Macaca mulatta: one gene and its partners. The protein of the gene in region 1 interacts with the protein of each later gene in a pairwise test. Links are inferred from orthologs where the notes say so. Each region holds a gene or a part of one and is shown on either strand. Other genes may lie near its edges. The genes, in order: UBE2D4, RNF25 and RFWD3.

Region 1 (3,749 bases):
TCACCTGCTTCAAAGTCCTAGGATGACAGATGACCCCTTTCAGAGAATAACTCATCAAAATTATCTCTCTTTTGGACAGCTATTTAAAAAGAAGAGTCATACTCTCAGAGATCCTGTTATTCCACCTCTGGCAATCAAACCCAGTAATGTGAATTAAGGAAAAGGCTCACTGTACAATGATGGTTGATCTGGTTTGGATATTTGTCCCCTCCAAATCTCATGCTGAAATGTGATCGCCAGTGTTGGAGGCGGGGCCTGGTGGGAGGTGTCTGGGTCATGGGGGCAGATTCCTCATGAATGGCTTGGTAGCCCCCCAACAATAATCTGTGAGTGCTCACTCTATTAGTTCATGCGAGATCTGGGTGTTTAAAAGAGCTGGCATCTCTCTCGCTCCCTTTCTTACCAGGTGACACGCCTGCTTCTCCTTTGCTTTCCGCCATGATTGTAAGCTTCCTGAGGCCTCACTAGAAGCAGATGCTGGCACTATGCTTCTTGTACAGCCTGCAGAACTGAGAGCCAAATAAACCTCTTTTCTTTATTAATTACTCAGCCTCAGATATTCCTTTATAGCAAACAAAACAGCCTAATACAAAGTTCATAACAGCAAATAGTGAAGAATTTTGAACAACAGCAGCTAACTCATATTGAGTGCTTGGTATACAGCAAGCATGTGCTAAACACATTTCATAGCATTTAATTCTCGAAACAACTCTGTAAACATGTAGGACTGGGAGGCTAGGAATGATTAAGTGCCTTACCCAAGGTCCCACTATAAGTGACCTCACATTCTCTAACCCAGGTCTGACACCCAAGTTCATACTTTTACCTACTACAGTTTTACCTACTACAGGTAATGACTAAATAAGTCACTAGTCATGTACTTGTGGAAAGTTAATGTTAAAAATTAGTTACAGAACTGGACATGGTGTCTCACGTTGTAATCCCACCACTTTAGGAGGTGGAGGCAAGAGGATCGCTTAAGCCCAGGAGTATGAGACCAGCCTGGGCAACATAGTGAGACACTGTCTCTACAAAAAATAAACAATTGGCTGGGCATGGTGGCATGTAGTCCCCGCTACCCAGGAAGCTTAGGAGGGAGGATCACTTGAACCCGGACGGTTGAGGCTGCAGTGAGCCATGATTGTGCCACTGTACTCCAGCCTGGGCGACAGAGCAAGACTGTCTCAAAAAAAAAAAAAAGTTATAAATACTACTTCACAACATGCTTACATTTACTATTATGTGAATAAGTGGAATACAAAATGCAGGATAATTGTTTTAAATATAGAAAAAACTGAACATAGGTATGCTAAAATGTTAACAAATAGTAAAGTGATAGGATTAGAAATACTTCTTTCTTCTACTGTTGTGCATTTTCCAAATCCTAGTGAATGCATTAAACCTTCATGGACTCCCTCTTACCTACAGGATAAAAATCAGTTATTTCAGCACTGCCCCTAAGGACCACCCGAGTCCACACCATCTGCCCTTCAGCTTCTCCCCTATCCTGTCAGTCCTCCAGGCCTCGTGGTCTCCCCATTGCCGGGAAAGCCTTTTTCCCTCTTCCCCACCTGCCGAGTTCCTACTCATCGCTTAGGACCCAGCTTCATCCTGGATACCCTTCTGGATACCCTTCTGGATACCCATCCAGCCCTTCTGGATACCCTAGAGGAGCAAGCTTGCCTTACTCCGGGGACCCAGCAACCCGCTGTCCAGGAGCCTGCAGGTGGCCCCACGGCGCCCCGCCAGCGTGACGCAGCCCACGTGGTCACGGCCCGGCCCCGCCCCGCGCTCGCGCAATCCCCTTCTCAGGCTGCGTTAGCTTTTCAGGCTGCGCGGGTGGCTGTTCGGCCACCTTCCTAGGCAGGTGTATCCGCGACTTGCGGAGCCTTTGTCACCTTTCACTTCACGGCAGCGGCGCCCCGCCCACACCTCGACGCTTCGGACACCCAAAGAGTCGGAGGGTGGGAAAGTGCGTACCTTCTGGATCCGCTTTAGCGCCATCCTACCCCGCTGCCGGGGACCCGGGCGGCCCGGCCAGGGCTGCCTGAGGCGGCCCGCTGCCGGGTCAGCCGCCACCGAGCTGCACGCCGGGAGCCGCCGCCTGCGCTTGCGCGCGCGGGGAACTGTGGGGCCGTCGTCGCCGCGTGCAGAGCGTCCTGGCGCGGCCGAGGGGAAGCCGCGGGGCTGCCCCGGTTACGCTGGCCACCCGCACCCGGTCCTGTGGCTTCGACCACTGGTCAGCAAGGCCCCGGAGAGGCCAGCGAAGAGGAGGGGCTCGTTGGCTTTACCAGACGCGCGGAGCACCCTCAAGGTGCCAAACGCTCGCTTGCTCCCTGTTCCTACATCCTGGGCGTCTTCTCAGGCTGTCATATAACTCCTGAGAATAGTGGTTCTTAACTCTGTAAGTATACATACCCTTGTACGCCTTATGGCTGGATGCGTTACAGCCATTTCCATGTAGATGTCTGTGCATATGTGCACACGCACAACTCTCCGCAGTTTTGGAGATCTCCGTGTTCAGTCGTACCTCACGTGATCTTGCACTGCCAATGTTGAGAACCAATGCCTTAGACTATGCATCACCCAAACTTAATTAGCTGTCTCCTTCCTGTTTTCCTAAGACTTGGCAGGCGTGTAGGTCAGAGTTGTTTAAACTGAGGGTTATGAACTATTTAGTGTGTCACGAAATCAATTTAATAGGTTGCAACCAACATTTGAAAAAAAAAAAGCCAGACGAAGTGGCTCACGCCTACAATCCCAGCACTTTGGGAGGCTGAGGCAGGCGGATCACTTGAGGTCAGGAGTTCGAGACCAGCCTGGCCAACATGGTGAAACCCCGTCTGTACTAAAAATACAGAAATTAGCTGGGCATAGTAACGTATGCCTGTAATCCTAGCTACTTGAGAGGCTACTTGAGAATCACTTGAACGCAGGAGGCAGAGGTTGCAGTGAGCTGAGATCGCGCCACTGCACTCCAGCCTGGGCAACAGAGTGAGACTGTGTCTCAAAAATAATAAAAAATAAAAATAAAAAAGAGAAAAAAATGTCAGTGCCTTTCACACAGTGAAGGTAAGAATTGTGGATGTTTTGTTGCTGTGTATATGTAGATGATATTTAATCTTCAGACTGAGACATGTTTGAGCATGAAAGTGGCTCTTAATATAATTACTCTGGGACCAAAGCCATAATTTAGGATTGTCTCCAGCCAGCCAGGACACATGGTCACCTCTATGTTTGTACTTAGGAAACAAAATGTATTATAGACATTTCAATGGTTGCCCAGCTTTGTCCCTGGCTTTCATGCTCCTATTCCCCCAATCTGTCCTCCACACAACTTCATAAACTGTCTGAAATATAAAGCTTACCACACTGCATCCTTACCCAGAACTCTTCAAGGAAGCCCAGTGGCCTATAGCATCACATTCACTGTCATTCAGGGGCCTTCAAAATCCAGGATCTTCAGCCAGGCACAGTGACTCACGCCTGTAATCCCAGCACTTTGGGAGATTGAGGTGGGTGGATCCCTTAGTCCAGGAGTTCTAGACCATCCCTGGGCAACATGGTGAAACCCCGTCTCTACAAAAAATACAAAACTTAGCTGGGCATGGTGGTGTGCGCCTGTAGTCCCAGCTACTTGGGAGGCTGAGGTGGGAGGATCACTTGAGCCCGAGAGATCAAGGCTGCAGTGAGTTGTGATGGCACCACTGCACTCCAGGCTGGGAGACAGAGCAAGACCCAGTCTCAAA
Region 2 (3,749 bases), on another chromosome or scaffold:
GCTAGTCTACATCCTCTTTTTCTTCCTGTCTGTATATAACCTTCTCCCTTAGAAGGAAGAGGGAAGGAGGGAGGTAGTAGAGTACTCTGGATGTATTTATGACCCTGGCTGTCTGGTTGATCTAGATCAGCCTGTTGAGGTTAGCATCCATGTTCCGATGTAAATCAGAGGACACACATGCATAAGCATAGAAACAGTAGTTGTATTGAAATTGAAGCTGAGTGATCAGTTTGTGTCTACAGCTCTACCAGGTGATACATGGAAAAATGCATACTTTCCTTTCTCATACTGCTCTCTCTTCATTCTAAGAGTAAGGCTGCTCCAGCATGACTTATGTCAGTTGTTGTTAAGTCTTAGGCAGAAACTTCAAAATATAAAATACAAAGCTTTACACCTCACAGAAAATAGTGTAGTTTTGGCTGACATGGGATGGGAGTCTCACAGCACTACAGGCTGCTGCACTCACTGTTGTTCTCTCCATGGCTCAAGGTGTTTCCCCTGAATCTTAAAAGTTCCCCTGAACAGGTCAACTATAAGTTATCCCAGCACTTTGGGAGGCTGAGGTGGGAGGATCACTTGAGGCCAGGAGTTCGAGACCAGCCTGGGCAACAAAGCGAGACTATCTCTACAGAAAATAAAAAATTAGCTGGACACAGTGGTCCCAGCTACTTGGGAGGCTGAGGCAGAAGAATCGCTGGAGCCCAGAAGGTTGAGTCTGTAATGAGCCATGATCTTGCCACTGTACTCCAGCCTGGGTGACAAAGTAAGACTCCGTCTCTTAAAAAAAGAAAAGAAAAAGTTTCCCTGAACACTTTGAAAACCAGTAGTCTAGATAGTCTTAATAAAGGCCAGTACTAGCAGGGCTCCCTGAACCAATGTAACACTGAGGTGTAGCCTCAGTCAAGTGGCCCTTCAATACTTTGCCTACCCTAGTTATGTGGGTCCTGGATGGGATGCTGGTAAGGTGGTGACAACAAAATGGGGGAGAGGGGACTGAAGAATGTCCTAGTATAAAGAATCTAAGGTGTGGAGTCAGATAGATGTGGATTTCTAGTCGCAATTTTCCACCTTTTGGCAAATCACTTTACTTCTTTGGGGCTCATCTAATCTTCCCAGGTGCCTGCACCTCAGTTATTAATGAAAAGGAGGCCGGGTGTGGTGGCTCACGCCTGTAATTCCAGCACCTTGGGAGGCTGAGGTGGGAGGATCACTTGAACCCAGGGGTTCAAGACCAGCCTGGCCAACATGGCAAAACTCTGTCTCTACAAAAAATACAAAATTAGCTGGGCATGGTGGCACAGACCTGTAGCCTCAGCTACTTGGAAGGCTGAGGCAGGAGGATCACCTGAGCCTGGGGAGGTTGAGGCTGCAGTGAGCCATAATCGCACCACCGCACTCCAGCGTGGGTGACAGTGAGACTCTGTCTCAAAAAACAAAACAAAACAAAACAAAACAAAAAAACAGACTTAAGTATATTACAAATCCATCGTGATCCTCTCAACTATTCTGAGGTAAATACCACACCCACTTTGTTTTTACAGCTGAGGACACTGACTCACAGAAGCTAGATGGCCTGGTCAGCATCACACAGCTAATAAAATGCGGAGTTAACCCACATTGATCCTACTTCCAAATCCCAGAGTCCTTCCATGTTCTAGTCTTTAGTTAAGAATGCTTGAGAGAAGGACTAGAGGGACTTTATGTGAGGTGTAAAGCTTTATTCAGACAATAGTCCTCACTAGTGCTGTGTGGGAGAGAGAAGGTTGAGGAAAGCGTCGGCGGAAAAACGCTGATCCAAGGAGAAAGGGGTACCGAACTGGAGGGCACTAGTTCTGAGAGGCGAAAGGGAGATGGGGAGGTCTGACGGGCAGGCATCCCCCAAAGCCCCTGAGAAAATTCATTTGAGGAGCATAGAAAGGGATAGCGTGAAGCTGGAGGAAAGGGGATCGAACCGGATAAGGCGAGGCCTGAACTGGTCTGGCGGGCGCAGACCCGGTCTCTTCTCACTCAGATCAGCGCCCCTCCACCCTCCCGTTCCCCAGTCTAGAAGATCTCCCAGAGGAGATGTCAGCATCTCTGCCATCCCTCATCCTTCGCTCCACCCCACACGCCCGCCGTACGGACCGTCTGCGACAGCTGCTAGGCCTCTGGACTAGACCCAGACTGTCAGCCAAAGCCCATGCCCCCGAAGTTACCAGTCCTCCTCCCCTGTAGCTGCAGACGCAGACGCCGCCATGTCTTCACCGGCCCGCAGCCGGAACCGGAAATGCCCTTAGGGAAGTCGGAGGCGGAAAACTAAGAGGGGTGGGCAGCTAGCGTCGTTTCTAGGCAACCGCAGACTCCGGGTCCTTAGCCGGGCCTGATGGCCCAGAGGCAGTTCGGATGCGTCCCAGGAAGTGCCCATGTGTGGTCCGCCGTCCCTCCCACACCTCTGAGCGCCTTTGTCCTCTGAACTTCTCACCAGTTCTAGCGAGTGAAATTGTTAGAAAGGGAGCCAAAAGAGACTGGCGAGAGGGGCGGGTGGAGAAGAATTGTAAGTCAGGCAACGTATGCAGGCAGCCAGAAGATATGGGGCTAAAGGCCAGGGAATCCGTCCCTGGGCCCGAGGAGCTTGGATCTCCTAGGCTGGGGATGAGAGAGGGACCCTGGCTTGCGAAGCGCATGGGCCAGGGGGTCTGAGAGCAGGTGCTGAGGAATCTGGGAGTGGCAGGAACTTGGGGGAGACTCGAAGGAGCAGGGTTGGGTGGGCGATGCTAGGTTAAGAGAGCAGGGTCGAGTGGGCCAAGCTGGATGAGGGAGAAGGGGGACCAGGTGTCAGGTGGGCATGGGGCCGGGTTGGGGACAGGAGGCTGAAAGTGGAGAGGAACTACAAAGAGATGCTGTGTTTGTTCCAAGATCGCATCATCTTTGCATCATTCTACCCTCCCATGTTTTTTGAGGCTTGGTCTTTGTGAAAAAGAGAAAAGGCAAGATGGCTAACATTTTTCCTTTCCCATGCCCCAACTAGGCCTCCCAGATGTTGTGGAATTGTCCCTGGATCTATAGCTCTTCACCGTCTCTACCTTTTTCCTTCTAAGAGATTCTGAAACCTCTGTCATGGAAAAGTACCACGTGTTGGAGATGATTGGAGAAGGCTCTTTTGGGAGGGTGTACAAGGGTCGAAGAAAATACAGTGCTCAGGTATTGTACAAAGAGGGATACCTTTTGGGTGGGATTTGGTACCCCCAACTCCAGTGGAAAATGGGTCTAGAAGGGATGTATGTATACCAGTTTATATTCCTAAGGCATTGACTCTCTCATACTTCTTATGGAGTATAAGCTCTGAAGTTGTATTATTTGGGTATAAGTTCCATCTCCACCGCTTTCTAACCCTAGAATTATGGACAAATTACTTAACTTCTCTATGTCTCAATTTCCTCATCTCTAGAATGGGGATAAGAACAGCAACTGATTGATGGCATTTGAGATTAAGTATGTTGTCACATTAAATCAGTTAGTACAGTGCCTGGCTCTTAGTAAACAACAAATATTATTATTATTAGTCTCTAGCACACCATGTAGTAAGAGGTAAACCACTTGAACTCTATTATTTCCTCTTAATTTTTTTTCCTTTCCTTTCCCCTAAATCTCATCTTGACTGCTTTGGTCAAATCAGAACACTTCTCCTAGAAGGTGAGATGTTTTGCCCATGCTGTTTCCTCCTGGGATGAGGAGTGGGGAAAGCCTGGATAAGGCCAGGGTACCATGGA
Region 3 (3,649 bases), on another chromosome or scaffold:
CGCTGGGCATGGTGGCTCATGCCTATAATCCCAGTACTCTGAGAGCCCAAGATGGGTGGATCACCTGAGGTCAGGAGTTTGAGACCAGCCTGACCAAAATGTTAAAACCCTCAAATACAAAAATTAACTAGGCATGGTGGCATGCACCTGTAGTCTCAGCTACTCAGGAGGCTGAGGCAGGAGAATCTCTTGAACCCAGGAGGCAGAGGTTCCAGTGAGCTGAGATCACACCACTGAACTCCAGCCTGCGCAACAGAGCGAGACTCCATCTCAAAAAGAAAAGAAAAGGAAAAAAAAAGAAAAAAAAAAATCAACAAGGTAACAGAAATACACACCAAGTTAATCATTAAGGGGAACAAGGACAAATCAGCACCAGCACACTATCAAGCGGACTGGAATGGACACGTTAAGAAAAAAAGAACAGGGCCGGGTGCGGTGGCTCAAGCCTGTAATCCCAGCACTTTGGGAGGCCGAGACGGGCGGATCACGAGGTCAGGAGATCGAGACCATCCTGGCTAATACGGTGAAACCCCGTCTCTACTAAAAATACAAAAAAAAAAAAAAACTAGCCGGGCGAGGTGGCGGGCGCCTGTGGTCCCAGCTACTCAGGAGGCTGAGGCAGGAGAATGGCGGGAACCCGGGAGGCGGAGCTTGCAGTGAGCTGAGGTCCGGCCACTGCACTCCAACCCGGGCGACAGAGCGAGACTCCGTCTCAAAAAAAAAAAGAAAAAAAAAAAAAAAAGAAAAAAAGAACAGAACACATTCCCAATTTGGGGAACATTAGAAAATAGTTATTTTTCCAATTTGTTGGTTCTATTTGATGACAAATCTTTTTATTAAAAACTTAGATGGGATAAAGGACCATTATAAAACCATGTTAAAGCAAAGGAGTCTTCCAGTTGGCAGAAATCTTATGCTAAAGACAGCAGAAAGAAACATCTGCAAGATTTAGAAATGATTTAATTGAGCATTTGAAAAGACTTGGATTTCAACATTTAGAAAACCTAAAATAAAGCTTAAAAAGCACAAAATATGTTTGTTTTTTTTTTTTTTTTTTGAGACGGAGTCTTGCTCTGTCTCCCAGGCTGGAGTGCAGTGGCCCGATCTCAGCTCACTGCAAGCTCCGCCTCCCGGGTCCACGCCATTCTCCTGCCTCAGCCTCCCAAGTAGCTGGGACTACAGGCGCCCGCCACCTCACCCGGCTAGTTTTTTTTGTATTTTCTAGTAGAGACGGGGTTTCACCGTGTTAGCCAGGATGGTCTCGATCTCCTGACCTCATGATCCACCCGTCTCGGCCTCCCAAAGTGCTGGGATTACAGGCTTGAGCCACCGCGCCCGGCCAAAAAGCACAAAATATGTTGAGAGAAAATTAATCTAGCATTAATAGTCAGTGTACTCCTTAAACTCTCTTATTTGGAAATTGTTAACTTGAACACTACTGAAAATAAGTGTTAAATTTTGTTTCACCTTGAACTACCCCTAGGGTAGTGTTCTGTCAAACATTTCCAGTCTAAAAAGAATCTGTAAGTTGAACAGGACTTCTTGGACTCTATCAGTAACCTACACTTCCAAGGACCTCACCATCTGCTTTGTCATGGTTATCAGTATTTCTACCCTCTTGGTTAATAAATTTACAGAATGAAGTTAATAGACAGTAAAGACATCTTTGCTGCACCCTGGGGTACTTGCATTAACAAGGAACTGAGAGGGAAAGGTGATTTGGTGAGCCTTGAGTCTTGAATTTTCCAAAAGAGCAAGGAAATAAACACATGGAGTCTAATAAAGAACATGAAAGCTGAGGTTCTAGACTCTTTACCTGGAAGAAAAGAGGCCTGAGGAGAAGGCTGTGATATCACCAGGCAGCTCAGAGCATCACAGTATGCCATGATCCGGCAGTTTCCTGCCTGAGATACTGTGAAGGTCTTTTGGAAGTGGTACTTGTGCTTGTGCTGGTCCTGGCTGGAGGGTGAGCAGCTCAGGACCCATGCTTGGGAGCCCCTGGGTTGCTGTAAATTCTGATTTTGATGTGACATAAGCTTTTGCAAGTCCTAAAATGAAAAAGATTTTATAAATACAAAGCTTTTTAATTTGATATTCCCCTCAAACACAATTCCTTGATCTTATATAGAAGATTTCTTATCCATTACATGAAAATGTTAACATAAATTCTAGAGAACTGCCGAGTTTTTTTTTTTTTTGAGATGGAGTCTTACTCTGTCACCCAGGAGTGCAGTGGGACCATGTTGGCTCATTGCAACCTCCATCTCCTGGGTTCAGGCCCTTCTGCCTCAGCCTCCTGAGTAGCTGGGATTACAGGTGCCCACTACCATACCCAGCCAATTTTTAAATATTTTTAGTAGAGATGGGGTTTCACCATGTTGGCCAGACTGGTCTTGAACTCCTGACCTCAGGTGATCCATCCGCCTTGGCCTCCCAAAGTGCTGGGATTATAGGCGTAAGCCACCACACCTGGCCAGAACTGCTGATTTTTTACAGTATGTCAACAAGTGAAAAAAGGAGAGCACAGAATCATAATATGAGGGTTGAAAGTCCTTAATGATGGTTTTGTTTAAAGCCATTTAAAAAAAAAAAAAAAAGCAGACAGGGTCTCACTCCGTCATCCATGGCATCCAGGCTGGAGTGCAGTAGTGCGATCACAGCTCACTGTAACCTTCAAACTCCTGGTAAAGCCCTCATTTTATTGGTAGATTTACTTAAACAAGTTTGGAATTCTTGGTTAGCTATTTAATTTTTTCTAAAATTCAGACTGTAAGGCCAGGTGCAGTGCTTACGCCTGTAATCCCAGCACTTTGGGAAGCCAAGGCGGGTGGATCACCTGAGGTCAGGAGTTCGAGACTAGCCCGGCCAACATAGTGAAACCCTGTCACTACTAAAAGTACAAAAATTAAGTGGGCATGGTGGTGGGCACCTGTAATCCCAGCTCCTTGAAATGCTGAGACTGAGGCAGGAGAACCGCTTGAACCCAGGAGGCAGAGGTTGCAGTGAGCCAAGATCACATCACTGCACTCCAGCCTAGATGACAGAGTAAGACTCTATCTCAAAAAAATAAAAAAATAAAAATAAAATTCAGACTATAGTAGATTTCATTATAAAGTGTGTAGTAAGTTTTGAACAGATGCCCTAATCAGAAATAAAATAAGCAGTTGGTCATGTTTATTTCCTAAATAACTTGGCAAATCCTATTTATTTCTGAGATGAACATAAGTAGCATTTAGATTCCTCTTCCATTCCTATTCCAAAAGTTATTTGGGTTAGAAAGGATAAACATACCTGAACACGACTTTGAAGCCTAGTGCACTCATCAGTGAGGACCTGCAGTTGGAGTCGGCACTGTGCTGATTCTAACTCGGCCTGCTTCCTTAGCATCTGTTCCTTCAGTAGGGAACTAGGGGGGGGAAGCCAGCAACAACTGGGGATTAGGAAGGCTACAGAAGACTTCCCATCAAGATGGCAGAATAAAGTTCATGCTATGATGCATATTCTTTGCTGTAAATATGTTATGATAGTGAATAAAACATAAAAAGAGAAAAATCTCTCCAGAGACAGATTTTGGGGTAAGCAGGGACTGATGGTCAGGAATCTGACTACTACTAGAAAATTTGACTACGACTAAAAATGCCACAGGCAA

The links.
Region 2: the proteins of UBE2D4 (region 1) and RNF25 interact in binary tests that used the Homo sapiens proteins (3 or more experiments, as listed by UniProt). The link is inferred for Macaca mulatta from reciprocal best matches to the Homo sapiens genes UBE2D4 and RNF25.
Region 3: the proteins of UBE2D4 (region 1) and RFWD3 interact in a two-hybrid assay, tested with the Homo sapiens proteins (2 studies listed by BioGRID and IntAct). The link is inferred for Macaca mulatta from reciprocal best matches to the Homo sapiens genes UBE2D4 and RFWD3.

What each region holds. Positions count from the first base shown.
Region 1 is NC_133408.1:84,434,845-84,438,593, forward strand, and holds the start of UBE2D4 (ubiquitin-conjugating enzyme E2 D4), read right to left. Parts: upstream 2,478-3,749; 5' UTR 2,461-2,477; coding exon 2,419-2,460; intron 2,405-2,418; exon of another isoform or gene 2,005-2,404; coding exon of another isoform or gene 1,981-2,004; exon of another isoform or gene 1,811-1,980; intron 1-1,810. UniProt on the Homo sapiens protein: Accepts ubiquitin from the E1 complex and catalyzes its covalent attachment to other proteins. In vitro able to promote polyubiquitination using all 7 ubiquitin Lys residues, but may prefer 'Lys-11' and 'Lys-48'-linked polyubiquitination.
Region 2 is NC_133417.1:123,911,498-123,915,246, forward strand, and holds the start of RNF25 (E3 ubiquitin-protein ligase RNF25), read right to left. Parts: upstream 2,269-3,749; 5' UTR 2,237-2,268; coding exon 2,196-2,236; intron 1-2,195. Other genes in the region: STK36 (serine/threonine-protein kinase 36), read left to right, coding at 3,097-3,180. UniProt on the Homo sapiens protein: E3 ubiquitin-protein ligase that plays a key role in the RNF14-RNF25 translation quality control pathway, a pathway that takes place when a ribosome has stalled during translation, and which promotes ubiquitination and degradation of translation factors on stalled ribosomes.
Region 3 is NC_133425.1:69,948,486-69,952,134, forward strand, and holds part of RFWD3 (E3 ubiquitin-protein ligase RFWD3), read right to left. Parts: intron 3,407-3,649; coding exon 3,292-3,406; intron 2,049-3,291; coding exon 1,817-2,048; intron 1-1,816. UniProt on the Homo sapiens protein: E3 ubiquitin-protein ligase required for the repair of DNA interstrand cross-links (ICL) in response to DNA damage. Plays a key role in RPA-mediated DNA damage signaling and repair.